4 linked regions of the Xenopus tropicalis genome follow. The protein of the gene in region 3 purifies or fractionates together with the protein of the main gene of each other region. This does not show direct contact. Links are inferred from orthologs where the notes say so. Each region holds a gene or a part of one and is shown on either strand. Other genes may lie near its edges. The genes, in order: dyrk2, cep78, ubr5 and atmin.

The links.
Region 1: the proteins of ubr5 (region 3) and dyrk2 purify together in Homo sapiens (affinity purification with western blotting; 3 studies listed by BioGRID and IntAct, with this or other methods). This does not show direct contact. The link is inferred for Xenopus tropicalis from reciprocal best matches to the Homo sapiens genes UBR5 and DYRK2.
Region 2: the proteins of ubr5 (region 3) and cep78 purify together in Homo sapiens (affinity purification with western blotting; 3 studies listed by BioGRID, with this or other methods). This does not show direct contact. The link is inferred for Xenopus tropicalis from reciprocal best matches to the Homo sapiens genes UBR5 and CEP78.
Region 4: the proteins of ubr5 (region 3) and atmin purify together in Homo sapiens (affinity purification with western blotting; 3 studies listed by BioGRID). This does not show direct contact. The link is inferred for Xenopus tropicalis from reciprocal best matches to the Homo sapiens genes UBR5 and ATMIN.

Annotation. Positions count from the first base shown.
Region 1 is NC_030679.2:58,475,057-58,482,121, forward strand, and holds the end of dyrk2 (dual specificity tyrosine-phosphorylation-regulated kinase 2), read left to right. Parts: intron 1-2,047; coding exon 2,048-3,649; 3' UTR 3,650-7,060; downstream 7,061-7,065. UniProt on the Homo sapiens protein: Serine/threonine-protein kinase involved in the regulation of the mitotic cell cycle, cell proliferation, apoptosis, organization of the cytoskeleton and neurite outgrowth. Functions in part via its role in ubiquitin-dependent proteasomal protein degradation.
Region 2 is NC_030677.2:132,558,775-132,566,374, forward strand, and holds part of cep78 (centrosomal protein of 78 kDa), read left to right. Parts: intron 1-30; coding exon 31-206; intron 207-894; coding exon 895-967; intron 968-1,977; coding exon 1,978-2,081; intron 2,082-3,577; coding exon 3,578-3,752; intron 3,753-5,932; coding exon 5,933-6,046; intron 6,047-6,763; coding exon 6,764-6,828; intron 6,829-7,600. UniProt on the Homo sapiens protein: Centriole wall protein that localizes to mature centrioles and regulates centriole and cilia biogenesis. Involved in centrosome duplication: required for efficient PLK4 centrosomal localization and PLK4-induced overduplication of centrioles.
Region 3 is NC_030682.2:131,338,660-131,346,259, forward strand, and holds part of ubr5 (E3 ubiquitin-protein ligase UBR5), read right to left. Parts: intron 7,485-7,600; coding exon 7,365-7,484; intron 6,579-7,364; coding exon 6,389-6,578; intron 5,444-6,388; coding exon 5,284-5,443; intron 4,860-5,283; coding exon 4,710-4,859; intron 3,965-4,709; coding exon 3,753-3,964; intron 3,470-3,752; coding exon 3,353-3,469; intron 3,223-3,352; coding exon 3,112-3,222; intron 2,859-3,111; coding exon 2,704-2,858; intron 1,875-2,703; coding exon 1,757-1,874; intron 1,366-1,756; coding exon 1,181-1,365; intron 987-1,180; coding exon 877-986; intron 1-876. UniProt on the Homo sapiens protein: E3 ubiquitin-protein ligase involved in different protein quality control pathways in the cytoplasm and nucleus. Mainly acts as a ubiquitin chain elongator that extends pre-ubiquitinated substrates.
Region 4 is NC_030680.2:52,813,864-52,821,463, reverse strand, and holds the end of atmin (ATM interactor), read left to right. Parts: intron 1-2,753; coding exon 2,754-2,879; intron 2,880-3,837; coding exon 3,838-4,037; intron 4,038-4,147; coding exon 4,148-5,909; 3' UTR 5,910-7,182; downstream 7,183-7,600. UniProt on the Homo sapiens protein: Transcription factor. Plays a crucial role in cell survival and RAD51 foci formation in response to methylating DNA damage. Involved in regulating the activity of ATM in the absence of DNA damage. May play a role in stabilizing ATM.

The sequences.
Region 1 (7,065 bases), on a different chromosome or scaffold from region 3:
TTGATTTTTATTAGATTAAGCCACACCCATGCTTATGGGAAATTGAAAGCACAATTATATAATAATAAGCATATGATTTCAAATCATGGGGGTTTTAGTAGTGTGTTTGTTTCTGGTTATTAAACATCTTTCTGAATTATATTTAATACTTATATGCAGGTAGCACTCTCCTGTATATGCAATTGGTTTCATAGCTTTCCAGAACTGCTCAAGTGATGCTTTTTTTATTTTAAGAAATGTATAATTTAGTTAAATGTATTAGATGCAGAATATCAGATTATACTCAGGGCATGGAGTGACTGTTTCATTTGTCATCTCATTTTACTATCATAACGCAGATGTATATATAATATTAATGACATCAAATGTTATGGAGCTTACAGTTTTCATTTAACAGTGTTTTTGTAATGCCTGTCCTTTTAAAAGGACAGAGGTTCTGTCAAGTTTTTACTCCTTTGCAATCGGTATTCATAGAAACAGATCATTTCAATATGAGTAGAGCAGCTGCCATATTAGTGGAGCAGTTGCTCCCTGACAGCTGCTCTGCTTTGAAATATATTTTAGAACGGCATTTAGAGGAACAGGCTTTTGCAGCTACATTTTGTGCATGTATAGGAGTTACAGAGTTTTTTGGTTTATGGCATGTATTGCATGTATGGTACTCCAATTTGTTTTCCCCCTTAGGTTACTGACACAGAGCAATCTGAAAACATTAACTTTTTGTAGCTTTGTGGGCAGGGGATAATGCTACAAATTGTCCCTCCGTTAGCTTTAAATTGAATTTAGCTGGGGCAGTTTTGTGCATGTAATTACCACTTGACATTTTGGAGCAATAATCGCATAACACTGCACCGGATGCTTTAAACTAATTCATTGCTATTGAAGGGCATCTTTGGAGTGTTCCCCCTGCCTCTGGAGCTACAACAAAGTATAATAAACCATGCATAGTGCAGGATATTTTGAGTATGTCAGCTACTTGAAAACAGTGGTGATAACCAGTAAATGAGGCTTAGATTACAGTTCCGTGGCAGCCTTGCCAAACAAGCAGATTTAGGCCAGCTCTTTTGAATTCAACCAACAATTTGTACACAGCTATGTAGAAACATTACAGATCATTTTTCTGTTAATTCTCATCTTTAAATATGTATGGTATTGATGCAAGGATCTAGAATTGTGTCAGTGTGGGGTGTTGCAGTCTCTGGGGGAATGTAGGACATTTACTCAAATATTGTAAAAACACGTAGGAAATCCATTGAAAATCACCGTACTGGTTAAATTTAGAAACTGTATAATTTGAGGAATATATCCGTTTAGTTTTCTCTAAATAGTAATGCATGCAAGGGTATTGCTTACTGCTGAATGCACTGAGCATCCCAAGTTAACTGCAAGTGTTGGTTATAACCTATATTTCATTACATTTCACTACATTTCATTTATAGTGTGTTCCTCCTTCCGTGTGCTATATATTAAAATAAGTGTGTTCAGCTTCTCTTGTGCTAACTTGCAGTGTGTTGCAGAATATGCTGGTGTTGTGTAAATGCATGTTAATAATAACACTAATAATAATTTATAATAATATTAATATGTTGTAACTGAGACCCTTATAGATTACTTCAGTAATGGGAACATAGCCTCTTGTCTCTGGGGATGTTATTGCTCCAGCTTGTCAGACCTACTGATGTGGTCTCGGTATTCCACATCTGTTAAGTAAACAGAAGGGCTGGTGGATGCTGATAAGACAGTCATGGCTGCTGTGTGACTCACTTATAGTGATGAGCTTATGAACATATGTAACAGTCTGGGTCCTTCATATTAACAATTTAGTTTATACTTTGAATTTGGAAAAATATCCTCTGCTATCTCTCTGTCAGATCGGTGCATGGTGTAGTGTCAAGTATTCGTTAACTTTCCTGGTTATTAAAGCTTATTTTAGTTCTGTGTTTTGTTTTTTTTGTGCTATGTAATAGATGGTATTAGCGTATAGGAATCATCCAATTTAGAATGAAACTTCTGCAATATAGCTAATTTACAATTTGTTTCCTTTCAGACTGGAGGCAATAAGCACACAATGAATGAACATCTACATGTGACCAGCCATGGACAAATCCAGGTGCAACAACTGTTTGAAGAGAACAGCAACAAAAGAACTGTCCTGACAACACAACCAAATGGGCTTACAACTGTTGGCAAATCTACTTTACCTGTAGTTTCAGAGAGGCAGCTTGAAAGTACTCATAGAAGACAAGGAAGCTCTAGCTCTTTAAAATCAGCAGAGGGCATAACCAAGTTGAAGTCTTCTTCATTAACTCCTGAACAAGCAATGAAGCAATACATGCAGAAGTTGACTGCTTTTGAGCACCATGAAATCTTTAATTACCCTGAAATTTATTTTTTGGGTCCAAATGCTAAAAAACGACAAGGTGTAATTGGCGGCCCAAACAATGGTGGCTATGATGATGATCAGGGCTCATATGTACAAGTGCCGCACGATCATGTTGCCTACAGGTATGAAGTTCTGAAGGTTATTGGAAAAGGAAGTTTTGGGCAAGTTGTGAAAGCTTATGACCACAAACTTCATCAGCATGTGGCACTAAAAATGGTAAGGAATGAAAAGCGTTTTCATCGGCAGGCTGCAGAGGAAATCAGAATTCTAGAACACCTGAAAAAACAAGATAAAGATAACAATATGAATGTCATTCACATGCTGGAGAACTTCACATTCCGCAATCATATATGTATGACATTTGAATTATTGAGTATGAATCTCTATGAACTGATCAAGAAGAATAAATTTCAGGGCTTTAGCTTGCCTTTAGTTCGCAAGTTTGCTCACTCAATCTTGCAGTGCTTGGATGCTTTGCACAAAAACAGAATAATCCACTGTGACCTTAAACCTGAAAACATTCTGTTGAAACAACAGGGCAGAAGTGGCATTAAAGTTATTGATTTTGGTTCTAGTTGTTATGAGCACCAGCGTGTGTATACATACATACAATCACGTTTCTACCGGGCACCAGAAGTTATTCTTGGTGGTCGCTATGGGATGCCTATTGATATGTGGAGCTTGGGTTGTATTCTTGCGGAACTGTTGACTGGCTATCCACTTTTACCCGGAGAAGATGAAGGTGATCAGCTGGCATGTATGATTGAGTTACTGGGTATGCCTTCTCAAAAGCTTCTAGATGCTTCAAAAAGGGGTAAAAATTTTTTTAGCTCCAAAGGTTACCCACGCTATTGCACTGTTACAAGTCTGCCTGATGGTTCCGTGGTATTAAATGGTGGTCGTTCACGAAGAGGTAAACTAAGAGGCCCCCCTGGAAGTAGAGACTGGGTAACTGCTTTAAAGGGCTGCGATGATCCTCTGTTTCTTGATTTCCTGACACAATGTTTAGAATGGGATCCTTCTCTCCGGATGACACCTAGCCAAGCACTGCGCCATCATTGGTTAAGGAGGCGGTTGCCCAAGCCTCCAACTGGGGAAAAGATCTCCACTAAAAGAATAACAGAAAGCACTGGTGCTATAACATCTATTTCTAAGTTACCTCCAACATCAGGCTCAGCTGCAAAGTTAAGAACTAATCTGACCCAGATAACGGATGCCAATGGAAATATTCAGCAAAGGACAGTCTTGCCAAAGTTGGTTAGCTGATTTAATGGACATCTTACATTGAAAACACCTTGCTGAGCCTTATGCATACAAAGCAGCAACTCGGATTTGTACCATTTTTAATTGCTCAGATTATTTTAAATACATTGTTTGTGCAACAAGTGTATTTTTATGTAATCATGAAATTGTCAAACAACGGGGACAATGCTTTAAGGTTTTATACCTTTTTGTGATTTGTAATTGGCCTTGCTTTAACATAGGAAGTGTCAAATTCAGTGGCTGGCCACTGATTACTACTTGACTGTTAAAACTTATTTATTAATGTCAAAAGTGTTAGTTATAATTCATTCATATTCAACAGGATTATGCTCTGGGTGCCATAGGCAATTTAGAGCATTGAAAACATGTTTAATACACACTCACACAGTATAGATGTGTAGATCGGTGCATTTTGGCTTCTGTTAAATGGGCCTTGCACAAAGCTGGCACAATAGTATATACAGTAACATTTGTTTGCATTTGGAGCAATTACATGAAACTGATTTGTGAAAGGTACTGCCTTTATACTTCAAATTGAGCAGTTGAATCACTTCATTTAATAAAGGTAGCTTAATACCTTTTTTCTTATTTTTGACATAGCCAAAGGATTTCATTTTACCTTAATAAATATACCTTTAGATATATTCTATATGTAGGTGATTAAAAAAACGTTTTCTCAACATGAAAAGGGCATTGACGATAAGCAAATTTTTAAACTATTGCTTTGTGTTGATTGCTATGGGTTTTTTTTGGGGGGGGGGGGATATCTAATGGTTTTATGCAACGTGAAGTCAATTTAGTATTTTTAATGTAAGAATAGCGGAAGGCATTGGTATTACTGAAGGATCAGTAGGATGTTCATATTTATAAAGGAAAAAAGAAGTGTTGCAACCTTGTGCTGTGAAACAGCTTTGTGTATTGGGATTCAATTAAAAGCTGTAGTTTGACTGTTATCCCCTTTCCCTTTAGCCTACAGATTGCTTAGCTGTGAGATTTTGTTCTTAATCCCTTGCAGTTTGTAAGCCACACTTTTAAAGGAGCAGTTCAACCAAACAATGTTAGATATCAATAGAAGTACTTTAAATGTGCATTAGTAATCTTTGTATACTTGCCATGAAAGGTGTTCTTTCCTCTCTTCATTTATCTCCACTACATTGTTAATTACAGTAGCTCAAAGCTTTAAGCTAAAAAGTTGTTTAGATAAGTTTGAGCTATGAATGGCATTTTAAGTACTTTTATACATATTTGACATTTTATTTTTTGTGAAATGTCCAAAAATGTAGGTTTAATTGGAAAGTGTGGGTATAATTGTGGTTACATTAAATTTGCAGCTCTGCTTTTTAATTTTTATGTTACTTAAAGCATGGTCCCCAAACAATGGCTAAAATGTTTCTGGCTACATTTTTAAATTTAAGTGCAAGTCGAATAGCAAAGAGATAATAATGGATATAACTATTTACTTCAAGTTTCAATTTGGATTCAGACCACACTTGTAATCCAGCAGCAGGTCAGGCCCTTCTTAATGTACATTAGGGTTAAACAGGAAATCATTATTGTAGTAATCATCATCCTGTATAATTGCAAGGGTATCCAGGACAGTATATAAGCACGTACCGCAACTTTCACCCTACCTGCCTCTCTTCATTTACTGCTTTTTCCATCCCACTGGATGCCATTCAAGCAGCTCAAGGATCTCCTAGATCCTCATGTTGCAGTTTTGTTATGGCAGTCGTATTTTCTCATTCTTTGGTGGGAGATTCAAAAGCAACAGTACCTCAATATTTTAAAACAAAAATCATCTTTTATGTTCTCACCACTGAAAACAGATTGCACTATTTTGATATCTGATTCTGTACCAGAAACTTTTAGACAAGGGGCAACTCACAAGCACTACCAACATTGTCGGTTGCTGAGCGGGAACCCCCTTTTGATACATATTTGGATTTGTTTTCTTGGTATTTGAGTAAGGCGGTGTATAAAGTCAAATTATAAGAAACGGACATTACTTGTCCTTACTTTCCCATGAATGTCCATTCTGCCATTTTCGAAGGTAAGTGCTTATAGAATGCTGGCTGAAGCTAACTTTGTTTTTACCTTAAGGGCTTCAGTGGTTGATCTGTAATAAGTTGTCTTGGAAACAGTACTTTGTCTCACAGGTTACCATTGTCTAGGGAAGTCTTACCTATTTGCAGCATTTGGGATAGCACAGTATGATGCTGTATCCTTGGTTGCAGTCTCGCATGGCACATTCCATGCACATATTGAGACATTTTTGTCACACAAGTGTTTTGCTATATGAGTTCAACACTTTGAAACAAGAAGTGTTTATATAAACACTACAGGATACTTTGTGAACTTAGTGTGAATTATGTGCCTTTTTGTTATTAGTGCTACATTGTCAGGCATATTTTGGCCTACTTTACTCTATAAAGTATAGCAGGTAAAGGCATCTATAATACAGTTTTACTCTAATATGTCTTAAAATATTCATCATGCTAAGAGGCCTTAAAAGTAACCATAGCTCTAGCAGGTTGTTTAAGGCTGGCCAATTATGCTGCTAGAAAATGCTTCCTTAGACTGTGAGGTCCTGAAAGACCTGTTGGTTACCTGTTATACTTTTTATCATTTCTTTTTTTTTTCAGGGTTTTGATTATGCTTATACTAGTGAACAATCTTAAAAATGTGTTTGTAAAATTTACCTCAAACTGTTTTTCATTTTTATGGTGTGATCAATCCCAGGGCATTTGGTAAGAACCAAAGTGCATTCCTTTTATATTTGCTGGTTGGAATAAACCAGCCAGTGATTTTTATAATTTAGGTGCAACGCACATAAGCCACTTTTAATGTATAGTTCGGGTATACATCTCTTGGACATTGGGTTGTATTGGAATCTCAAAGAAGAATCTAAACTGTTAATTATACAGTATATAAAAAAAGCCCTTGATTCTTTCACTTCTTCCGAGATTCCCCCACATCCCAATTTTATGCAGCTTGCATAAAAAGACACATTGAATTCTTTCTTGTTGGCACTTTTACAGCTCTGCAAAACATTTTGGTTCTGAAAGGTAATTTTTAACTGCTCACAAAACCTCTACAGTTGTCTAGGCCATGACAATTTCTATTGAGCACCATCTTAGACATGTGACTGTAATATGCTGCAATTGTGTGTACTGATGATATGTGAACATTTGGAGTGAATGTGGACTTTGTGTATAATTTGTGTACATTTTCTGTAAGATGCTGCTGGCGCCACTCTACATTCCCTATAATGTAGTGGAATAGAATCAAAGTGGCGAAATTTATAATACTGTATGTATTGTACAGCAGATGATGGAAATATGACATTTTAGTGAACATTTGTTACATTTTATTGTTGTGGCCAGAGATCATTTCAGAATAAAAATGTATGTTCTACTTCT
Region 2 (7,600 bases), on a different chromosome or scaffold from region 3:
ACTTTTTAACAGTGCATTTTGATATGTCAGGTGCTGAGAAGTATGGAATATATTTCAAAAGGCGCATCCCCCCCATCCGATCAAAGGACATGACTTTTCAAGTATGCAAAGCAATTACAAGCTGCTTGAGTGTATCAGGCTCTTTAAAAGAGTTAGAGCTCCATGGACTGCCTCTACGAGAGAGAGATTTAAGAATTTTAGCAAAGGTAAGGAGTAAATATGTGATTGTGTTACTAATGATGTAGGATGAATGAGGGGGTTATTGAGATATTATAATAATTATTGTATATGAGAACATGGCACATTGTTTTAGAAGCCTTCTTTTCTACATATTTGCATGCTTATTAATGTATTAAAGCTAGCTTCTTGATTTGTTTAGTAGAGCAAGACCTTTAGCAATGAATTATGAAAGCCAGTCATCCATCTTGAAGAAAACACAGCAAGTCCATTTGATTTGGCATATTACTACAGATTTATAACTGTAAATTTGTAGTATCTCTATGATATATTATATCATCTTCAGATTCTATCAGATTCACATTTTTGCATAGAGATACGTTTACAGTGGTGCTTGAAATTCTGTGAACTCTTTGTATTTTTAATTCTTCTGCATAAATATGCCCTAAAAAATTTTTTTCACACAAATCCTACGACTACATAATAAAACCCAAATAAAAATATAAATCAAAAACATTATACTTATAGCTGAGTGGAAAAGTTTGGGCACCCCTGCCAAATTACATATTTAGCTAATTATATACATAAAAACAACATATTTGCAAATGTTAATGCACAAGGATGATGATGATGTCAGTGGAGATTATCATATATCAATGGAGTTTGTCCTCAGGCCAGGCCTTGGAATTCTATGCTGACCGTATGCATTTTTTTAAGGGTTTGGCTGCATCCTCATCTGTGGAAAGCCTGTCTTTGGCATATTGCTCCTGTGGAGATGAAGGACTGGAAAGTAAGTTTTCCTTCAAGTTGGTTATTGTATGTATTTATGAGAATGAAATAATTTTTCATCGCTGAAGTTTTACTTTTTGCCATTGGGGTTTCACTTGAATCTGCAAAAAGCACATTAACCCATGCTCTTATATAAAAATGACACCCTTTTAAAGGGTCAGTATACCCTCTTGTTTAACATGAGTTCAATGAAAACATCTTGTGCTAAATATACTTCTTGCTTATGTCATTTTTGGTTCTTGCAAATTTGATTTCCAGTGCACAGATAGTCCCCCCTACATAATGGACTCCTGCTAACAAAACAATCTCAACAAAGGGTAAAGGGTGGGGGTTGTATGCTGGTAATGTTACTAAAAAGAGACATAAATGTAGCCCCTTGTGGAATTATTATAATTCTTTGTGTATAAAGTGTCAGATAAAATATCTCTTCTATAGGTGATCAGCATCTACTCACATCATTTCTTTCTCAATTAGTTTTTGTTTGGTAGAACTGTTCCCGCTGATGCTTTATTTTGTGTATTTCCTTTTCTCTGTTTCCTCCGTTTCCATGGAAATCTCAACAGGATAAATTAACTGTATTTCTGAATGTGTAAAGCCTTTTACAGTGGTCTCCACAAGCTGCAGGATATGACTTAATGAGCAGACAAGAGGAATTCATGATGCATGCAACTGATATTTTCACTGCTTCTTATAGAAGCACCCAGCATCTTTTTATATTCCTATAAAGAATAAGCCATAAAGCCAGATACTGTGCCAAAAACAGGAAATTTTTGCTAAAAGCACATGATTTTGTTTTTTAAGGGCATTTTTGTATATTCTTGCCTTTTAACATTTTCTGTGTTTCAATCTGGTATTGGAACCAATGTCTAGAATGCTTGGGACCTGGGGTTTTCAATATTGGTTTTTTTTTATATAATTTGGATCTTTTATACCCTAAGTATATTAAAGCATTTAAATATTAAAATTGACTCTATGTGAAACAGTGAAACAAAGGTTTTTTTGCGTTTTCAGTTATTTGTCAAAGTGTAAAGAATTCACCTACAATCAAGACAGTAAATTTCACAGGGTGCAATCTGACATGGCGAGGAGCAGAACACATAGCAAGTATCATCAAGGTAAATGGTCTGCAGTGCATTTATATGGCCTGTGATACTCTGGAAAGTACTGGTCTGGTTTAATAGCTGAGAATGAGTAGTACTGATGCATGATATTTCATGTGAGATTTAATTGCAGGTGGAATTAATGCAGGAGGCCTTCCAAAGGGGCCTATTTATCATGCTCTGTACATGAGAACTAAAGCCTGAATAGTATTTTTGAAAGCTCTCCCTTCCCCCACCAAAACCACATCAGTTTGTCCCCACAAATCTGCCCTAATTTCCTTATCTTATGAAAGGAAGCAAAGTAGCATAGTGGGGTTAAAGGATATTTTCTTACACTGCTGAATCTTTTCTCATAAGTGATTGCAGACACAGATGTGGTGCAATTCAGCCCCATTGCACTGTTCTGCTTGTTCTCAACAGGTAGGGAAAACTGAGTAGATTTTAGGGGGAAAATTGGTGTGGTTTGTATGGGGGAGGGCCCTCCAAAAATATTACCATTTTTCTAAGACTTTAGTTCTCTCTTAATGGATTACACAAAGTCTGAAGTAGTAATATAATACAGCAATTGGGGGGCATAAAAGAGCATGCACCTCTTTATTTTATACCACTTTTGATACTAAATCATTTTACATTGTTTGAATAGTACTCAAAATATACTCCTGTGGTCAGACAAATAAGCTATCATTGATGCCTAAAGAAAAATGTTCTCCATTGCAACTCTTACTTGTTAAGCATCAAACCAAGGAGCATGCTTGGTAGGGGCTAAAGGTGCTGCTGCTGCTACTGAAAATACCTGCAACTAATTTATCAACTTTTAACAGCTTAGAGCAGGCATTCTTAACCTATGGGTAAAGAATTAAAAATGAGTCTATATTCTGTTTATGGTAGGTCTCCTTGACCCCTTTTAATCATGTGAAATTTCTTCTACTGTAGAAAGCAATTAAAATGCTAGCAAAACAATTTTGGGCTGCAAAGAAAAGTACATAACTTAATTTGGGTTCCCTAAGTATAGGCCTATAAGACACTGATTGAGAGAGTTGATACTGGTGACCTAAGTGATACTGGGAAGACAAAAAGGGGGAAAACTAAGTTAATTTATGTCATAAAATTGTATATTTTCTATAATGCAGAGTCTGCTATATAACATACAACAAGTGGGAAACGAGTAATGCTCTTGGGCCTATTGCTGTTTTTTATAATGCTGGCATCACTCCTCTTATTGTACTTTTTTTTTTTGTTTTGTTTTTTACTTTCGTACCAATTTATTTGTGCTATTCTTGACCTACTCAAGTAAATTTTGGCAAGCTGAAGGAATTTTTATATTTTCTTAATTTGCTTATCGAGTTTTTTTGATAGCCAGGGAAAGAACAGCATCCCAACACCAGGAAAGAATGTTTTGCAAAACTTACTGTGGATATAATTTAATCATGTTACAAGTTCATGTGCTGCTATTTTACATCAAAGATGTCATGCAGAAAATGACAGGTGAATGTGTAATTGTATCTTCATAGCATCAGGCTACCAGAAGGCACAGTGAAGCCTGGGCTGAAAGCCTGAGATACAGAAGGCCTGATCTTGACTGCATGGCTGGTTTAAGGCGTGTCACTCTTAACAGCAATACCCTTGTGGGTGACCGTGGAGCCATTGCCTTGGCAGAAGTGATAGGCGAGGACCTCTGGTTAAAAGGTATACATAATTTTCAAATGCAGTTTCAAAATATGTAGTAGGAGCATGTATATTATTACTATTATAGTGTACTGTAATGCTTTAGTCACAGTCAATCTAAACACTCTCTAATATCGGCACCCTGCTTGGTCAGATTTTTTTTTTCTATTATTCATGTGCACTTCTAGGGGGCAGCAAAGGACATGTCCAAAAAAATTAAACTTCCCTTATAAAAAAAAAAACCAAAACATAATTCTAAGCTATTTTATTATAATTCTAAGCAACTTTGCAATATACATTAATTACAAATATGTAATGGTTTTTACATTATTTGTATATAATGTTACAGGGTTTGTCCTTTTCCCATTCTTTGCCTTGGTTTTAAAGGTAAGTTCTATTTTAGAAACAACACAAAGTTTACAGAGTGACATTTCCTAGTTGGCAGTTAGTTATCAGAGACACTGTATAGAGGAGCCAGATTTACACATTTAACAACAACTGAGTCACCTCCATCATTTCAGGGGATCTTTTGGAGGTTCAGAGGCTGGGAGTACCCTTGTCCTTAAAGATTTATAAAGTCGGGGTGTGAAGAAATAATTTTCAGGTGTCCATTTATTGAAGTGCCTCTGAAAATGTATTACACTAGGGTTCCCAGACTCATTAAAGGAGAAAGAAAGTTAAAAACTAAGTAAGCTTTATCAGAAAGGTCTGTGTAAATGCTGCTATAAGCACTCACAGAAATGCTGCACTGACTTCTCTGTAAAAAGATTAGTTGTGTCTGTTTTCCTCTGCCAGTAACACACAGCTTTCAGCTCTCTCCTCTCTGCTGCTCCCCCCTCCCTCAAGAATGCTGAGAACTCACTCCCCCCTTAGGAATGTGGATCAGAGCCAATGAGCAGGAAGCTGACTCATAGGGGCACATTTACTAATCCACGAACGTCCGAAAAGCTTCCGAATGCGTTTTTTTCATAATGATCGGTATTTTGCGATTTTTTCATAAATTGTCGTAGCCGTTACGACTTTTTCGTAAATTGTCGCGACTTTTTCGTAGCATTACGACTTGTGCGAATTGTCGCGACTTTTTCGTAGCCGTTGCGCCGAGTACGAAGATTCATTCAAGCTTCAGTATCGTGACTTTCCTTGGGCCAGGTTGGAGCTGCAGAGTGCCATTGAGTCCTATGGGAGGCTTCCAAAATCATGCAAAGTCTGAAAGGTTTGCCCGCTGTTTACGAGCGCTCAATACGGAAAAGTCGCGACAATATTGCAGCTTCCAGGACTTTTAAAAGTGATGGGTGTTAATAGTCTAGGGAAATCTAGATTGTTTGCTAGAAAGTCAATTATTTGGGACCAGAAGTGGATATGGGGACATCAAATCATGCTCCAAGGTTACCACACCATGGGCATCTGACAGGGGTATTATAGAGATAATGATAGGTTTGTGGCTCTGATTTTTAAAAACAATTTAACACAAGCCAGTAGACCGACAGACCTGTCTTACTGGAGGATTCTGGCTTTTGCAACATTATTTAAAAAGTCATACCCAGAAGTTAAGCAAATGCTGCTTTCAATAGCAAATACTTTTACAAATAACTTTTAAAGCACTAAACATTTTTAAAGGAGAAGGAAAGGTAAAAACTAAGTAAGCTTTATCAGAAAGGTCTATGTAAATACAGTCATAAGAAAGAGGATTTGTTGTCTCTTAGTTTTCCAGGGACAGTCAGCTCTCTCCTCTCTACCCTCTCCTGCTCCCTCCACCCTCAAGAATGCTAAGAACTCCCACCCCCCTTAGGAATGTGTGGTCTGAGCCAATCAGCAGGAAGCTTCCTCATAGTCTTATAAACTGCGCATGTACACCTTGGTGTTGGTGCAGGAGGCTTCTGATCATCTGAACTGGAGAAATGGAGATTTAAGGGCACTGTTGAGAGAACTGAATGTATGCCTGCATCTTGAGATTAACTCTTTATTAGCCTTTCCTTCTCCTTTAATAAATTCATATTTGATAGTTGCTTACAATTATGTTTTCTTTTAAAGTTGACATGTCCTTTAAAGCCCTAATTATACATATGAATTCTTGCTTAGGCCCTCATATACTGTTTATTGTAACCTGTTACATATATTGCATTGTTGGCAAGCTACATTTTCCATAAAGTGTAAGCCTTACACTAGATGTTTTTTTTTTGTTTGTTTCTTTTTCACTACAGCACTAGATTTGCGCCAGTGTGGTATTTCCAATGAAGGTGCACAAGCATTTCTTAACGCATTTCAAACAAATACAACACTGATAATACTGGACATCAGAAGAAACCCGCTAATAGGTACCAATGATTAAAGATATGCTGTATGTTTAAAAATTGTATTTATAATTCAGTGTAAGCTTAGAATAAAGGTGGTCATATTCTAAAGGATATGCTCATTTGGTGATGACCTTGAGGTGGGTGATCAACAAACTGATGCTTTCCTTGCCCAGTGTGATTTTTAAACCTGCTTGATCAACATCGGACCAAATACATATACAAATGTATATGCAGAAGTTACCAGACATACAGGACACCAGAAAGGAGCACACCAGACGTTAAACAGTTGTTTCATTTGTTGCACTCCTTTAATAGTCATCACATGGGGGTTATGGTTACCTATCTGCACACAACAAAAAAGGTTGTTTTTTTTTTTGTGCAAAAGTGGATATACTGCTTTTTATTGATTAGCTTTGCCTGTATCAGAAGATTGGGAGCTTGTAGATGAGCCAATTGTGTTTTGTTTATCAAAATCAAAATCTATATATTTTTGGTAGTTTAGATCATGTTTATGCACTTTTTTTTTTAACATAAGCCCAACTAATAAGCTTATGTCAGAAAGGGGGTATTTTTCCTGTTGAACATACTTCTATGGGCCCCAGATATTGCTGTCTACAGATGCTGAGGATCCCATTACAAGACACATTAAACAGATGGTGTTATGATTAGCATCACATATGCAGAATATAATCTAACTGATGTTTTTAATGCTTGTTATTCTTTGTTCTGTTTCTTTAGACCGTTCCTTACTGAAGACCATTATTGAGAGAGTGTTAATGAATGCACATGATACCAATTCAGAGGTATGCCTTACCAATTACTGTAATTATTTCATTTGGTTGCAAAATCTTTGATCACAATAATTTTTTTGTATTAAGTATGCATAATGAACTATTATGTTACTGGAAAACCTTTGGCACTAGTATATGTCTGTTTCTTTGTAAAGGCAGGATATTTGAATAGTAGGTTCTCATAAAATGGCTTCACCACTTTTGCACCCACACATGTAAAGGTCTTTAATTGTAGAAAACAAAAACTTCGGTGTCATGCATGTAGCAAAAATGTTTTGTTTAATCTGCTTTAAAACTCCAACTTAACTAGATAATATTGAAGCAAAACCTTTACAAGCTCTGGTCAATTAAAGCTCTTGCTTACATCAATGAGATATTGCCTCCTTTTTTGACATTCAGTCAAAAAACTCATTCAGTTGGGCTTATGTAGAAAAGGTGCATGAAAATAAATATATTTTTTTTACACAGACATACCTGATTCCACAGGTCAAAGAGAAATTATGGCACTTTCACAAACCATTTCTCAACTGTCTTAGGCTCACAGAATCATGCATCCCCTCTCGCCTTGTTTCATTTTGACGTGATAGATTCTTGAACTTCAAGTCCCCTCCGCTTTTCATAGTTGGTGGTGTACAGATTTTTGGGAGCAGAGAGACTTGAAATCTATCATTTTACAATGAAAAAAGGTGAGGCAGAGGTTGCATGATGTTGTGACTTAGGGGATGGGGAAGTGGTACCTGCCATCAGAGGTGTATAATGGATTTTTTTCATTAAATAAATGTTT
Region 3 (7,600 bases):
AAATATTGCCCTTTTACATCCTTTCCCTTGAGCCACCATTTAGGGATGGGCTGTGTGCTCCCTCAGAGATCAGCTGACAGGAAATAATGCAGCTCTAATTGTAACAGGAAGTAGTGTGGGAGCAAAAAGACAAAACTTTGCCCATTCATTGGCTGATGGGGCCTAGCATGTATGTGTGCCTTGGCTTGTTTGTGTGCACTGCGAATCCTATGATCCCAGGGGGCGGCCCTTAATTCTTAAAATGTCAATTTTCTATTTAGGATTACCCAATAGCACATTCTTCTATTTTTATGAAAATTGTTTAATTAGATGAAGCAGGGTTTTACATATGAGCTTGTTTATGCAATATATTTTTAGACTAGACTAACTAAACTTTCATTTGAAGCAGCGTAGGTGGTTCTTCACAGTGAGGTTATGGAACGCTTTGCCGGGTGATGTTGTGTTGGCAGACCTACATTGTTTGGGGGTAAAGTTTTCCTTTAACTACTGTTTTGGCTGCCACCTTCCTTGGGGCTTCTAAATACCATTACACAGCTACTGCCGATCTGAAACTGGTCTGTGCTGTAATATTTACTGGTCACGTACAGCTTAAGCTGTCTGTGCTGGAGGGGGTGCATACATATGCAGCACCAATTAGAGACAATAAAGAATCCTGTGCCACTGGGGCAGAAAGATTGTGGCATGATTCAGTACCAAAAGCAGAATTTACAAGCTCCAGGGAAGGTAACAGTCAAGTAAAGTAGGCAATTGGGGTCAAGGGGGTTTGTTACACATAATGAATACTTTGGCTTTCCTTGCCTATGTATAGCAAAGCAAACCACACACACTAAACTTTCTAAAATGTCACAGAGAAGGCTGTACATAAAGACTACTCACTGTATGGCATTGAGGCACTGCTAGCAATTGAAGACGCATCACTACAGGTAGATGCAGGAGATGGTGGAGGACCCATCTCGGTTTTTACAGGCTCCTGTTTACTTTCAGGTCTTATAGAAGGCAAACAAAAATAATAGTTAAACAATCCCCACCACTTCAGCAGTGAGAACCAACAGGGCAGAGATCAGAAAAAAAAATGTTATTTAATGCAGATTGCGGAGATTAAGGAGAGACACACAAATATACAAACTGAATGAAGTGAAATGAAGTACTTATTCTTTGCAAATAAAAACATTGGACTTACTTGGCTTCAGTTGTTTTGTTTGTTTTTTCCAAGTTCTTTAGACTCTCTGGAGAACGGAGCTGGAACCTGCAGCTATCATTCATATTCCACACCGATTCCATTAATACTCCTACTTTGGGAATCCCAGCACTGATTGAGAAAGCAACTGCTCCCGCATGGTAGAGAGGGTTATTTCTTAAGCATACCTGCAAGAAAGATGTAAATTGTTAATTATAACCTTTAGGATTACACACCTTTTTATGTTTACATAAAATTAACACCATTTACATAAAATTAAATGAAAACTATTATTCTGATGCAATCTACACTGGTTTCTATGCTGTCCGGCAATGTGCCTCTGAATTACTAACCATACTTGCACTTGCATTGTGTGCTATATATGCATACTGTATATATTTTGAGTTGGTCCCTAAGCTCATCTGACTGACCGGAGCATTGATCATGTGGCTGGAATCAGAAAAGAATTGGAGGCTACTTAAGGCACCTTTGTAGCCACAGATCTGAAGGGCTGTGGTGGCCTTGGGCTGGTTTAAAACTGCTCTAACAAGATATGAAAGCCCACTAGAGTTTCCTCACCTGGGTCCCAACTGTGATATTTGGCATGGATGAAATTCCGGCACTGGATTTGGGTTTTTTATTCTTTGCACGTGCTTTTTCTAGCATTTTCTTCCTCTGGCTGAAAGGAACAACGCCCCTGAAAATAAAAATTTGACTTGTTAATTTCTTATTCAGGCACGCATTGTGAATCAGCATATAACAAGTTAAAATTCAAATAAATTAGGGAAAATAAAAAACACATTGCTCCCTGAAGTCTAATGCAGTAAAGCAGCAATACACGCACCGACCCTCCCTCCCAACCCGTGCTCTACCCAGCAAGCTGTCCTTCCTATACCTGTGGTACCCGGTCCCAGCTGACTTTACTGAAGAGGTGGGAGAAGTTTCAAGTATATAAATGGTAGCCAGACACAAAAAGATTGGGTGTTCACAGATATCCCATGGGAGCCTATGATTAAGTGCTGGTTAAGCATGAAACGCATTAAGGTGGCAGTTCCATGACATGTTCAGATTTTAGTCTTCTTCCGACGAATGTTCGGATATCAATCGTACGTTTAAATGTAACAATATAAAACTAACATTCAGACTGAAATTGTAGGATAACACCCTTAAAATAACAAATCGGAGAATGTTCTGAACATAATAGTTCTGAAATAGTTGGCAAACACCAATCATATGAAAGTGATGTCCTGGAAATGCATTAAGGTCCCCCAAGGATATCGTCAGATACACAACACATTTGCAGATTTTATCTTCGTCTGACCGAAATTTTCTAACCTGGCCTATCGGCTAAACGAGCAATTGGCATTGTATGAAAATTATCAGGACGATAATTGGGAGGCCACACACAGTCTGAAAATCATACAAAGCTATTGGTGCGTGTATGGCCAGCTTTAGGATATTGTTTATACAAAATTAAAATTCCCTGTTCCTGCTTTTTTATTTTGAATCAAGCAAATTATACTCACCACCAATAAAGGTTATTTTCTAACTGCGCACAGGTATAAAGCGCACAACAGTGCAATGAAACAATCTTGTCTCCTTGTAGCTCTGGGAAAATCTGGGCTGTGTGCTCTAACTTTGAGGCTACAGAACTTAATGTTTCATCAACCCAAGTAGCAACCTTAAAAGAGAAAATGGAATAAGCACTCATTACAATTAAAGGACACTTTTATATCACACAGAACTGTGCAAGAACTTAAACTGAACATTAAAAAATACATAAATAACAGAAACAATATGTATGGCCCCCAGCTGGAGCAGAAGCAATTGCCAAGTAAAACAAAGCTGGGCCCTAGTGAGACAGAAACTGGAGGACACAATAAGCAGACAAAAACAAATAAGCGTCAAAGAAAAGCCAAGAACACTGTTCAAACCTTGTTGCTTTCTGTAGCGACTGTGGCTCGGATACTATTTGCTGACAACAGGACTATTTTCTCATTTGTTAGGCCTAAAAAGGATGCTCTTGGATGATGTAATGACAGATTCTGGAAGTAAAATAAAACTCTTTAATTCCATTTGTGATATATAAATTCATAGTGCATGATGAATTCGATAAAATGTTACAAGTAGCATAATAGGGAATACAGTTAATAGCATATAGAGAAATCTAAATACCTGTGTATTCCTATAAGGCTCTGACTCCATCCACTTCCACTGATAAAGTTCTCCCTTACTGCTCACAGCAACCAGCTCAGAATAAAGTGCTCCAATAGAAATAAACTTTGTACCGTCCTACAGAGACAGCATATGCAAAAAAAGCAGTTTTAACTATACTTTATATTGACTTACTGAAAGAGCAGTGGACTTGTTATTGGTTTTATAAACGTCCACTGAATATGAATATTCCCCCCCCCCCCCGCCTCCCTAAGGAAAATCAAGCAATTCAAAGTGCTTTAGTGACTCCAGAAGCTGTATATAAAATAAAGGTATACAGAAGTATTTACAAAAAAAGTGAAAGTGCTCTGTGAACTCTGATTGTGATATAAACCTTTATTGGGACTAGTTATAAAGATACCTTTTCAGGCCACCACTGCAGGTCTTCTCCCAGTGACACTGGACTCTGTATGGGAGTGTTCTTCTTATCGAGTGCAGGCTCCCCTTCTTTGCTTGTGGAGCCTCTTTCGTTATCGAACGAGGCCCCATCAAGCCACCTCCGCTCACGCAAACGCAACACTGACTCACGTTCACGCAACAGTTCAGAGTCTCTCTCTAAGGGAAGAAGGAGAACTGGTATGCAATTGGGTCACACCAGTGGGATAAAAGTAAGCCAATCTCTATTTGAGACCCTTCTTATCTAGCAGCAAATAAAGCCTATAAATTAAAGTGCCAGTAACATCAAAAATTGAAAATGTGTTATGTACATATAAATCTAATTCTATGCCCGGCCTGCACTTTTAAAAATAATTTCCCTTTGATGCCAAAAACTAGGCACCTAAAAATAAATTTGTTCAAAAAGCTGTGTTACCTTAAATGTAATTCAGCACTGTGCATCCAGACACAGTAATGAACAACAATGTGAAAATAATACATACAAATATTACAAATGATATATATCAATCCTCTTCATTGTTTGGTGTTACTGGCTCTTTAAATTGTATTCTTTCCTTTAAATTTAAAAAACTTAGAATAGGGTCTAAATTTAAATTTAGAATTGGCGAAGGGCTACTGGTAGCTATGTTACGGCCCTCTCATTCTTAAGGCCATAGGCAGGAATCTGACAGACTCCCCCTATTTTACACTTAAAAGCAGTGGATAATTTGCTTCCCCAACAGAAAGCTTGATGCCACCAACCATTACATAAATGCAAATCTAGCTATCTAGTATTCATAGTTAAAAAAAAAAAAAAAGGAAATATTTACCTTGATTGGTTTCCACTGCTGCATTATGTGTAACCTACACAAACTGTACTAATAAAGGCATCACAGGGACAATTACAGGTATACAGGATGGGGAAGCAAAGGTTCAGAATTACCTCTGGATGAGCCTATCCTGGAAAGTGAAGAGCGCCGAAAAGATGGATAACCAAAGTAGCTAATATCTTCTGAAAACATAGCATCAGCATCAATTATGACACTTGGGTGAGCAGAATGAATGTCAGCATCCAGCAGTGACATAAGATCTTCTACAAACACAAGGATCATAAGCAGTAATTAAAGTAAAAACATTACACCATTATTTCTCCTAGGATTAAATTCTAAAATCTGTCATCTACGTACATAAGGGCGCTGCAAGACAGATTACCCAGAGCATATTTCCACCCATGCGATTTTCAGCTTGGCAGGACGCACTGTAAACTTACAGGCCAGAATGAAGTGAATGGAAAAGCAATTTGGAGAGTTCCGCTCTCCACCTACCAAGCTGGAAATCATGCAGGCTGCAAAATGCTGATTCTCTTCATTTCCAATGCCCTTAGAAGAATCGAAAGAATTTTGAGCTTCTTTTAGATTTCAGTCTTGAAACACAACGGGTTCCAGTAACATAATGACCAGCATGCTTACCATGGATTGTTAGAAATTGGATAATCTAAATGGCTAAACTGAACTTACCTCCTGGCAAGTAAGATTCACTAGCAGTGTCATCACCATCATCCCCATCTTCATCATCTCGACTCAAGAGATTGTTAACTGCGAGGTTTACATCAAGATTTGTTCTCTGTAGCTCTCGAATAATAACACTTCGCGATTTTCCTTGAAGAACAACTTGTGCCTGCACGACACAGAGAGTGGCTTGAGCAGTTACGCATATATTGCCAAACAGGGGTATAAACACAGGTCACCAGTACAACCAATAAACGACAAACTCACTGAATACAAATAAAAGCTGCTGTCAAAATCTAAACTACATGAGATACTTTGGTTATATGACTTCTGTCTGGAAATTTCACCATGCAACTTAAGATTTTATGGGACGGACAAAGTCTCATCCTCTAGTACAGTGATCTCCAACCAGGCTGCCTGAAAATTCTGCACAGACCTTGAATCCAATCATCCAATCAGCCCCGATGTACTCACCATGTCAGTGGCAAAATCAAACAAAGAACTTCCTGCACTCAGAAAAATCCTTCAGGGCACGGCGCGAGTCTGCTCAGCTTGCTCCTCTCTCACCCTACTTTCTCCTCCCTGTTCCAGCTCAACTCTCACCCCCTCCCATCTAAACTTAGAGCTGTTTCAGGAGCAGTGTGCAGGCAGGGAAGTGTTTTCAGACCAAGCTAAAACAGCAGCTGCTATCTTAAACAGAGGGAGATTCTATGACTGTTTACTCAGGTATGGTAAAGCATTCTGCAGTATAAATTTAGCGTTCTAGGTGGCACTATTGTGACTAATCTATTAGCTATAAAATGCCAAAATACCTTTCCTTCTCCTTTAAATGAGTCTCCGGTGCTTGTAACCAAATATATGGGTGTCAAACTACTAAGAGAAGACTATTATGCGGCGCTGACAGTAAACCATTTAATTGTGAAAAGAAGCGTGGGCTCACTATATTTAATGCTATTTCTGTACATTCATCAAGCTGAGCTTTAGTCTTACGATATTATTCTGAATCGATCACATTAAACAGCAAATATCTGAGAACATACATACATACATACATGTATATTGTAGGTTTAAATAAAAGTTTGAATTTACTTAGAAATATAAAAGAGGACTATACCTGCGAGATGAGTTCCTCAGGAATAACAGAAGCTGGAATCACAGGTTGTGGCTGACTGCCCAGGAGACCAGAGCCTCTATCCCTTCCTGTGCGGATAACTCTTGTTTGCCTCCGAGAGTCTCTAGCACCAGCTGATGACCGGCCAGAGGATCCCCCACCACTTCCACCAACCCCAGAACTCCATCTGCTCCTGAAGAAATGAAAAAAGGAAAAACAAAGCAAAGTTTTGGGTTAAAGGTATTAAATGTACAAACTTGAATAAGAAAAACCTAATACTCATTCTTTTCACATGCATATCATATTCTGTGATCTTAAGTTAAGCCAATTATATTTTTAATCAACCGTTCTTATCTCCCGATTCATCTACTTTATTTTCTCCCCCCAAAGAGTGTTTATGTAAAACTTAAAAAAAAAAAAAAAAAAAAAAAGACTGTGGAGTCTTTTCAAGGCTGTTGGTTTAATTTAAGACTATGCTGTGCGGCCTGTGGGGCAGATGTGCCCTGCCAAAGGATTTTATGGCCTCCAGACTGCCTAATGACTATGTGGAAAACAGACTACAGCTTTATATCTACACAGTTGCCATGAAATACATTTCTAAAGCAAACATGAAATGTGGCAAACTTTGGTGTTTGATGACAACATGAGAGGAGTGCATTTTCCATATGAAGAGGAAAACTTAGTTTCAGTCTATATGGACACATTAGTTGCAATTTATTCACAAGACAGTTAATACGGTGTGTCAGTAACACAGCAATCGGGAAAAGAAGACCAAGAGTTATGTTGTGTAACCCTTGATCTCCCAAAGCTAAATGAGCGACAGGAAGGAGCCTGCCGTATACGGACAATATGGCAATCACAGAAACTGATATTCTATGGAAAGAAATCCGGAAAGCATGTATATCAGATGGATGGCCATTGTGTAGTACAACGTCTGTTAATATATAAACAGCATAAGCCTTAACCCTATTAAACTTACCCAAGGGTGTTGCCTGCCAGTCTGCCCAGAGTTTCAGAACCAGACAGAAACCAAGGGGAGTCACTAGTCCTGCCTGGCCTGGATGTCCTTCCTGCCCCTGAGCCACTGCTCAACTTTGAACTGGAAACAAAAAATGGCACATCAGTCAAAAAAGGAGAAAATAGAAATGGGAAAAGCAATAACATCTGGGCTGAAATGTAAAGCCTGTGAGCCCAAGTCTAGATTTATGGTGTTAG
Region 4 (7,600 bases), on a different chromosome or scaffold from region 3:
AAAATCTAATGTCGTGTTAGCTGGCAGTTTACTGGTTTGTGGAGAATGCTGTTGAATCTGCAATATACTATTTTAAGAATTATATAAACCTTTAACGTTTTAATAAGTAAAGGCGCCCTGTACAAAAAATGGACCACTAAGAGGAGCTTGAACCTCAAAAGTTCGTAAGATCTAATTCAGGGCTAAAATAATTAAATATTGACCTGTATTGGTCTCATTGGCTCACCATGTACATTACCAAATTAGCTAGTTATTTGCCTATTAGACACTGGGCCTAACAGGGAGATCTGTCCATTTGTATCAATTACCCAGCATTACATAATTTTCAGTAGGTTAGCACTATATCTTTTCTGTTTTATCTTCTATAGATAATTGAAATATTTATTTATGGAAGTTCATATAGTTTTTATGCACCATTTTTACATAACCCCAACTGGTTTGAGCTGACAACCCAGAGGGTATGTTATTCTACAAATTGTATTAAAGCAGGGGTCCTCAAACTACGGCCCGTGGTGAATTTACCCAGCCCCCTGATGCGTCCTCACCTCTGGCAGCAGAGAGAGAGGACTCAGCGGTGAGTGGGACAGGGGAGCTGAGAGGGAGGACGTAAGGGAGCAGACAGCAAACCAGGGGGAACTGGAAGAGGTAGAACTCGGTGGGTGGACGGACGGACGAACGGAGCGAGGGAGACAGAAGGGTGGACAGACGAATGAGCGTGGGAGTTTGGATGGATAGACGGAGCGTGCGGGGGGGGGGGGGGTTTGAATTCTGGAAAAAATTGCAAGAGTGGGCCACAGTTTGACGACCCCCAACAGTCTGAGGACTGAGAAGTTTGACAACCCCTGTATTAAAGGGTCATTGTATGGTGGTATAGCTTTACTAGCTTTTTGGTTTTGTGTATTTTTTTTTTTTTTTTTAAATATCCCCATCCTGCCTAGAACAGGCATTCCAATTGGGTCCTGGCTCTGAGTGTTTCCCTCCATAGATTTATTTCTGTTCTTGTCATTGTTCGCCAACATATTCAGCAGTGCTGTAAAATAACTTTGCATACAGATTTACATACAAAAACAACCAATAATCGATGCAAGAGGTGAAGGGGGTCCTGGTTGTATAAGCTTACAGTATTTAAAATAGATCTTTCAAGATGGCTGTTAGGTGGTCAATATTTTACTGTATCTGTCAGGTCAGCGTGTTCAGAGCAGGGTGATCATACACATGTATGGCCAACTTCCATTGTTTTTTTTTATTCAGGCTGATGGCCTGAACTGTCAGTGAAACAGCAAGTGAAGAGGGGCTGCAGATCTACTTTTTTAGATTTCTACATAACATTAATTTCCAGACAGAACGCAACAACTCGCAACTTAGGGACTGTCCTTTTATTATGGTGGAGGTCAGCAAATTCTTCTTGTTGACAGAATTTCAGAACCCGCCTACACTGGCCCTCTGGTGTGTTTGATTAATCTCTTTGTAATAAACTCACCTATCTGACCTATGTGCAGCATTCTATAATGTTTGCAAATTTATACCTAGGGGTTTTAAAGCTAATGAGCTTCAATCTGCCATCTGTTTAGCTATGTGACAGGCCTGCTCATCTAACCAGTGACAGCCCTCACAGTTGCTCACCCTGGTTATGCACTATTTTTGCCCATCAATTCTATAGACATAGATCTTTCATATAACATTTATATAAAATATTGAAGAGTTCCAAATAAACTCATTATATAGTTTAATAATCAAATTCTATGAATGGCGCGCACAATTCTGCTGTAATCATGGTTTGGAAGTTGGTTCTGTCATCAAAAAATCATTCAGTGCATCCTTTAATACTTTTAAGACATGAAATTCTAGCTCTCTGTAACTAAATAAGTTAGGCGATAGCTAATCCTCAAAGCACCAAGGCGTAATCCTTCTAAGAGTCCTAAGAAACATCCTGTTGCGCTTTACATATGTATATATATATATATATATATATTTTTTTTTTTTTAACCAAATCTACAAAAATTGACTATTTACTTTTTTATAAGTTAATGTTTATATATTTTGTTGCAGCGTGCATTTTCTGCTGCATAATCTGATTTCCATTCTCTGTCTTATTGGCAGCTCTAACTATAATGTTACCTTATTATAATGGTAGTGATCTCAGGTGTTGTGTGATTGATTGGTTGATTATTGCTGCACAGATAAGGTAACCATTGTAAAGGGATAGCCTGACAGCTAGCACTCAGATTTCCTCCGAAAGAATAGCCTTGCCAAGCTGTAAAGGCACAATGAATTGTGCTCTTAAGAAAAACTGTAAGGTTTTAACAGTAGTACATGTTAACAGTATTTTTGTTTTCCCTTAATGCTCTCACAGCTCTTAAGGCTGATGCCACACGAGGTGTAGGGCTGATATTTTCAGCAAGCGGAAAAACGCTTGGCAAAAATTCAGCCCTACGCCTGCTACTTGTGCCTGCACCCGAATGAATGAGATACGCTCAGGTGCAGGCACTGTAGCCGATATACGCATGAAAACGCGTGAGAATGCAAAGACTCGCGTTTTCATGCGTATATCGGCTACATGTGCCGGCACCCGAGCATATTCCATTCATTCTGATGCAGGCACAAGTAGCAGGCGTAGTGCTGAATTTTTGCCAAGCGTTTTTCCGCTTGCCGAAAATATCAGCCCTACACTTGGACCAGGTCAATGTTTCAGATAACATCTGATATTGCATTTCATGTTTTAATGTATATAATGTATGTTTATTATTTCTCAGGATGGAGTGCTGAATCCCACATTAAGGAAAGATTTAAAAGCTTCACAGAAATTATATTGTTGTCCAATAGAAGGCTGCCCAAGAGGAACAAACAGGCCTTTTTCTCAGTTTTCCCGTGTTAAACAGGTATGCCAACTGTCCTAAATTTAGTTATTACTTTTATATGACACCCCCCCATCCTATTCTATATCATCCTTCTCCTTTTCAGTACTCTAGTTTCTAATTTTCAGTATTCCAGTCGCAAATCTCCCAAAAACATATTCCTTAAATCATACTTCAAACCTCCCCTCGAGTAGCATATGTATTGTGGCTGTCCTCAGCAACAAAAAGGGGTCACTACACCGAATGCTTAATCTGACAGAACCATCTGTGGCGAAGGAACAAAAATTAAAGTTAAAGAAGGACTGGCTCGAGGGCCTATATCTTAAGGGGTCACAGCATAGTAGACATTTTGGTGTATGCCACTTGCTTCATATCTGGGTCTTCCTGCATCAGCAATTAGAAATCGGGCATGGTCAAGTGCTTTGGAGTGCTAATTGTGTGCATTGGATTAGAGCACATACCGGCAAGCATTTTTATGGGCTAATTTTTGAGCGCATCTAAGTGGATGAGCAAAATGTTTCTATTCTATTCTGCTGTGATTCTGACTAGTCATAGCTACAAGAGTTCACAGCTGCATCTCATTGTTTTTTCCCAAATGCATGCTCTATTTCTGTGTTTTGGTGTTGCTTCAAAATATAACTGAAAAATGCACATTAAAATAAAATTTTAAAAAAAGCCAGTGATTTCATACAATACTTCTATGCATGTTTTAAGGACCCAAATCAGCAGCTGAAATCTGCCCATGTATGGCCACCCTTAGTTTTCCATTCTCCTCTTTTTATATTTGCTCTCTACATTTTCTCCTCATTGTACCATTCCTGCCTAACATAGAAGCATGGTGAATTAGCAGATATTATCCCTTTTAAATGGTCACAGTGAAGAGTATCATTATTTTTTTTGTGCTTTTCCAGATTACTGTTTATTCTCCTTAGTGTCAGAGCAATAACAGTATTTTATTTGTACTGAATGTATTTGCTTTCAGCACTTCATGAAAATGCATGCAGAAAAGAAGCACAAATGTATCCAGTGTGGGAGCAGCTACGGCACTGAGTGGGACCTGAAACGCCATCTTGGTTATTGTGGAAAGACCTTTCATTGCACCTGTGGCTGTCCTTATGCCAGCAGAACTGCTCTCCTGTCCCACATTAATAGAACTGGCCATGAGATTCCAGTTGAACACAGGTGAAATATGTAAATAACATTGATTATACTGCCATTGTCTCCTGTCATGTACCGTGTTCATCATACATTTTTTGCTTCATTTATATGTGTGATTTTAATTTTCTTCCCAGAGAGCCCCCTGTAAAGAAAAAGAAGATTGAAGCTGCTATGAGAAGTCTTGAAACCATGAATGAGGCAAGACTTCCTGAAAGTGATCTCCCTTTGGCTTCACAAGATGATCAAATGGCAGATTTAAAACTATGCACTGTTGAAAGCCTCAGCAGTTCCTGCTTGACAGAAAGCAACCCCTCACAGCCGAAACAAACTCAAAAATTGCTGCTTCCAAAGTTGGCTTTACTCAAGCTCCCAGTAATGCAGTTTACCCATCTACCTGTTTTGGTCCCTTCATCTGCTTGTTCAGTCAAACCAGTGCTTGTTGCAGTTAAAGATTCTGTTGCAACTTCTGTGCAAATATTGTCTAATTACAATGGATCAATTGTCTCAAACCTGGATACAAACACTGCTTTACCTGCTGGTATTGTATTGTCTAGAAATACAGATTCTAATACAGTTGGACCGGTAAACTCTTTTGTGCAAGTCAACCTAGATAAACCGGTGTCTAGTAACATCATGTCAGATATGGGCAATATCTCCCAAAAGAACCGGATCACATCAGATGTTCAGACTGACATATCGTACTTTACACAGTCTTTATTACCAGACCCTCCTTGGACTTCTGACTCTTGTGTCTCATCTTGTTCCCAAACAGACTTATCATTTAATGCACAGATCTCACTTCCAATCAGCGTTGAGACCCAAACACTACAATCAAATTCTGAGTTGCCCTACAGCACTAAGGCTGGCATGTCCATCAGTCCTTGTTTCTCTGGTGGGATTTCTCGTGAGACACAAACAAACACCGAACTATCGAGAGGGGCGACTTTACAGGTGGACCAAGCTGTTATGTGTGAAAATATATTTACTGGCGGCCACTCTTTTTACACTGTGTCAACCCAAACAAGTAAGGCAGAAAGTAGGTTTTTGCCTGGAGCTTTGGACCAAAGTTTATTGAATACAAATGATGTTCAGCAAATAAGAGAAGAGACTATAGGCTTCAACAATCAGAATGGGGCATTCCCTAATCAAAACATGACTGATAACCAAACACAAACCATGGAACTCCTTAGTGACCTTGAAAAAATATTATCTGATAATATGTCCGGCCAGCCGTTAGATAATCGCAGTCTGTTATCAGTAGAAAGTTCAGGAGGGGAAGCAAATTTGTCATCTAATTGTACGCAAAACCCAGGCATTGATTTTGACATAGATGAGTTTTTTTCAGCCTCCAATATTCAGACACAAACTGAAGAGTGCGAGTTGGGGAATCTCGCCTCAGAATATCTAGATATTGAAACCCAAACAGACTTCCTGTTTTCTGAGGACTCTGCCCAGTTGTACTCTAACAAAACCAACTCTAGCATTCTAGGTATGGAGATGTTTGATACTCAGACACAGACTGACCTAAATTTCTTTCTAGACAGCAGCTCTCACTTGCCATTAGGTAGCATATTGAGACAGTCTAGCTTTTCAATGAGCACAGACTCATCCGATGCAGACAGCCATGCAAATTTATCTTCTGAGAGCAAAACTAACGAATCTCACAGCATGGAATGTCAAGTACAGCAAAACAGTGCTGAAACTCAAACAACTGACAGCTGCTTTGAAACACTAGGCCATTTATTTCTCACAAGCAATGAGACCCAGACTGCAATGGATGACTTCCTTCTTGCAGACCTGGCATGGAATACAATTGATTCTCAGTTTAGTTCTGTTGAAACACAGACTTGTAAGGAGCTTTTCTCTTTGTTTTCATCTGATAAATCCCATAACTGATTAGCACTCCCAACACTTATTAATGCTCATAACTGTGTATGAGTGTTCTTCAGCCCAATATATTTATGCCCTTTTCCTGGCTGAAGCGATAGCAGTCTGTCATTTTCTGACCCCTCTCACTGTGAAGAAACTTGCATGGCTTACTGTTAGCTGAGAAACAAAAAATATCTGTTGTGTATTAGAAATTATGGTATGTTTCCATCAACCATACAAGGATTTTCAGCTACCTGCATGCTGAGAGGTGTAGTTAAACGTTAGAGCCATGTGTGAAGATTCCTGTTAAAAAGCCAGTGACACAAAAAATGAATGTTTTATTTGTATATAATTACATTTGTATTTTTTGACTACACGTCTAAAAAATGTGTTTTCTAATATAGGTGATTATATAAGCTATTATGCAGCTATGGGGCTGCTATTTGGGTTCTAGATGGCTAGAGCCCATATTTGCATAGCGAATAACAGATATACTACATAGGTTGCAATGTTTTAAAGGGTAGTTTACCATTAGGTTAACTTTTTGTATGTTATAGAATATCATATAGTTGTTAAATTATTTGCCTTTCTCTTAGTCACTTTCCATCTTTCAGAAGATGGACTCTGACTCCTGCAGGCAAAAACCTGCCCTGGGAGGCTACAATTTTGTTACTTTATTATATTTCTTTCTAACCGGGCACTTCCCTAATAAATTCCCAGTCTCACGTTCAAACCATTGTCTGGTTGTTAGAGTAAATTGCACCCTAGAATCCAAATAGCTGCTGAAATTCCATACTGGAGAGTTGCTGAACAAAAAGAATAGTAGTTTAAAAATCCCAAAATATTCTGATAATATCAGTCTACCCCATGCTAAATGTTAATATAAAGGTAAACTACCCTTTTTAAATGGAGATATCAGGGTTAAAGATCATTTATGGATCTCTACCACCATTTATGGTAAGGCCATTTCTGCCATGAAATACTTTGTGCTGGGCAAATATATATCACCTTTAACCGCAAATAAAATACTTTCATGTCTTGGTGTTACATGCCCTTCTTGCACTAAACAATTGTGCTGTATCACAGAGAATGTCTTATTGGTTGTTAAAAAAAAAACCAGATCTAAACAGCATGTATATCTATATGCCACGTGTAGAGGTTTGGACTATTTGTATATGATAGGCACACCTATAAAGAAAAGCACTTTATTTTTGTTTTCTTATGTAATTTATTTATGCTGTCAGAATAACTGGTCAACCAAGTATGTGTGCTTAATTTAAATAAAAAATACTAAAATTGTCATGCCAATTGTCATACCTGTGGCTCCAAATGATACCTTCAGTAAACTGGTAATTGTGATATCGACATGCGGGTCTGGGTGGAGAAGCAGTAATAAGTAAAAACTGGGTATGGCAGCACATAACCTAACATAATAGATGAGGCTGAAAAAGATGCATTCAATAAGTTGAACCTTTTGCCTAAGTGAAAGCTGCCTAACTGCATGACTGCTAACAAGATGAGCATTGAGTCAATGTTCAGAGCAAAACAGATGAGCTGCAAGATGCAGCAGACTAAACACTAATTTCTGCTATGAAAAGGTAGTGTGTTAAAATCAAAGCAATGTTTTTCTGAACTGAAGCAGTATAGTGTGTTTATTAGTATTCTCTATTCCTTTTAAAGGCTGCCCTTAAAGGGGACATGTCACCCTAAGACTCCAA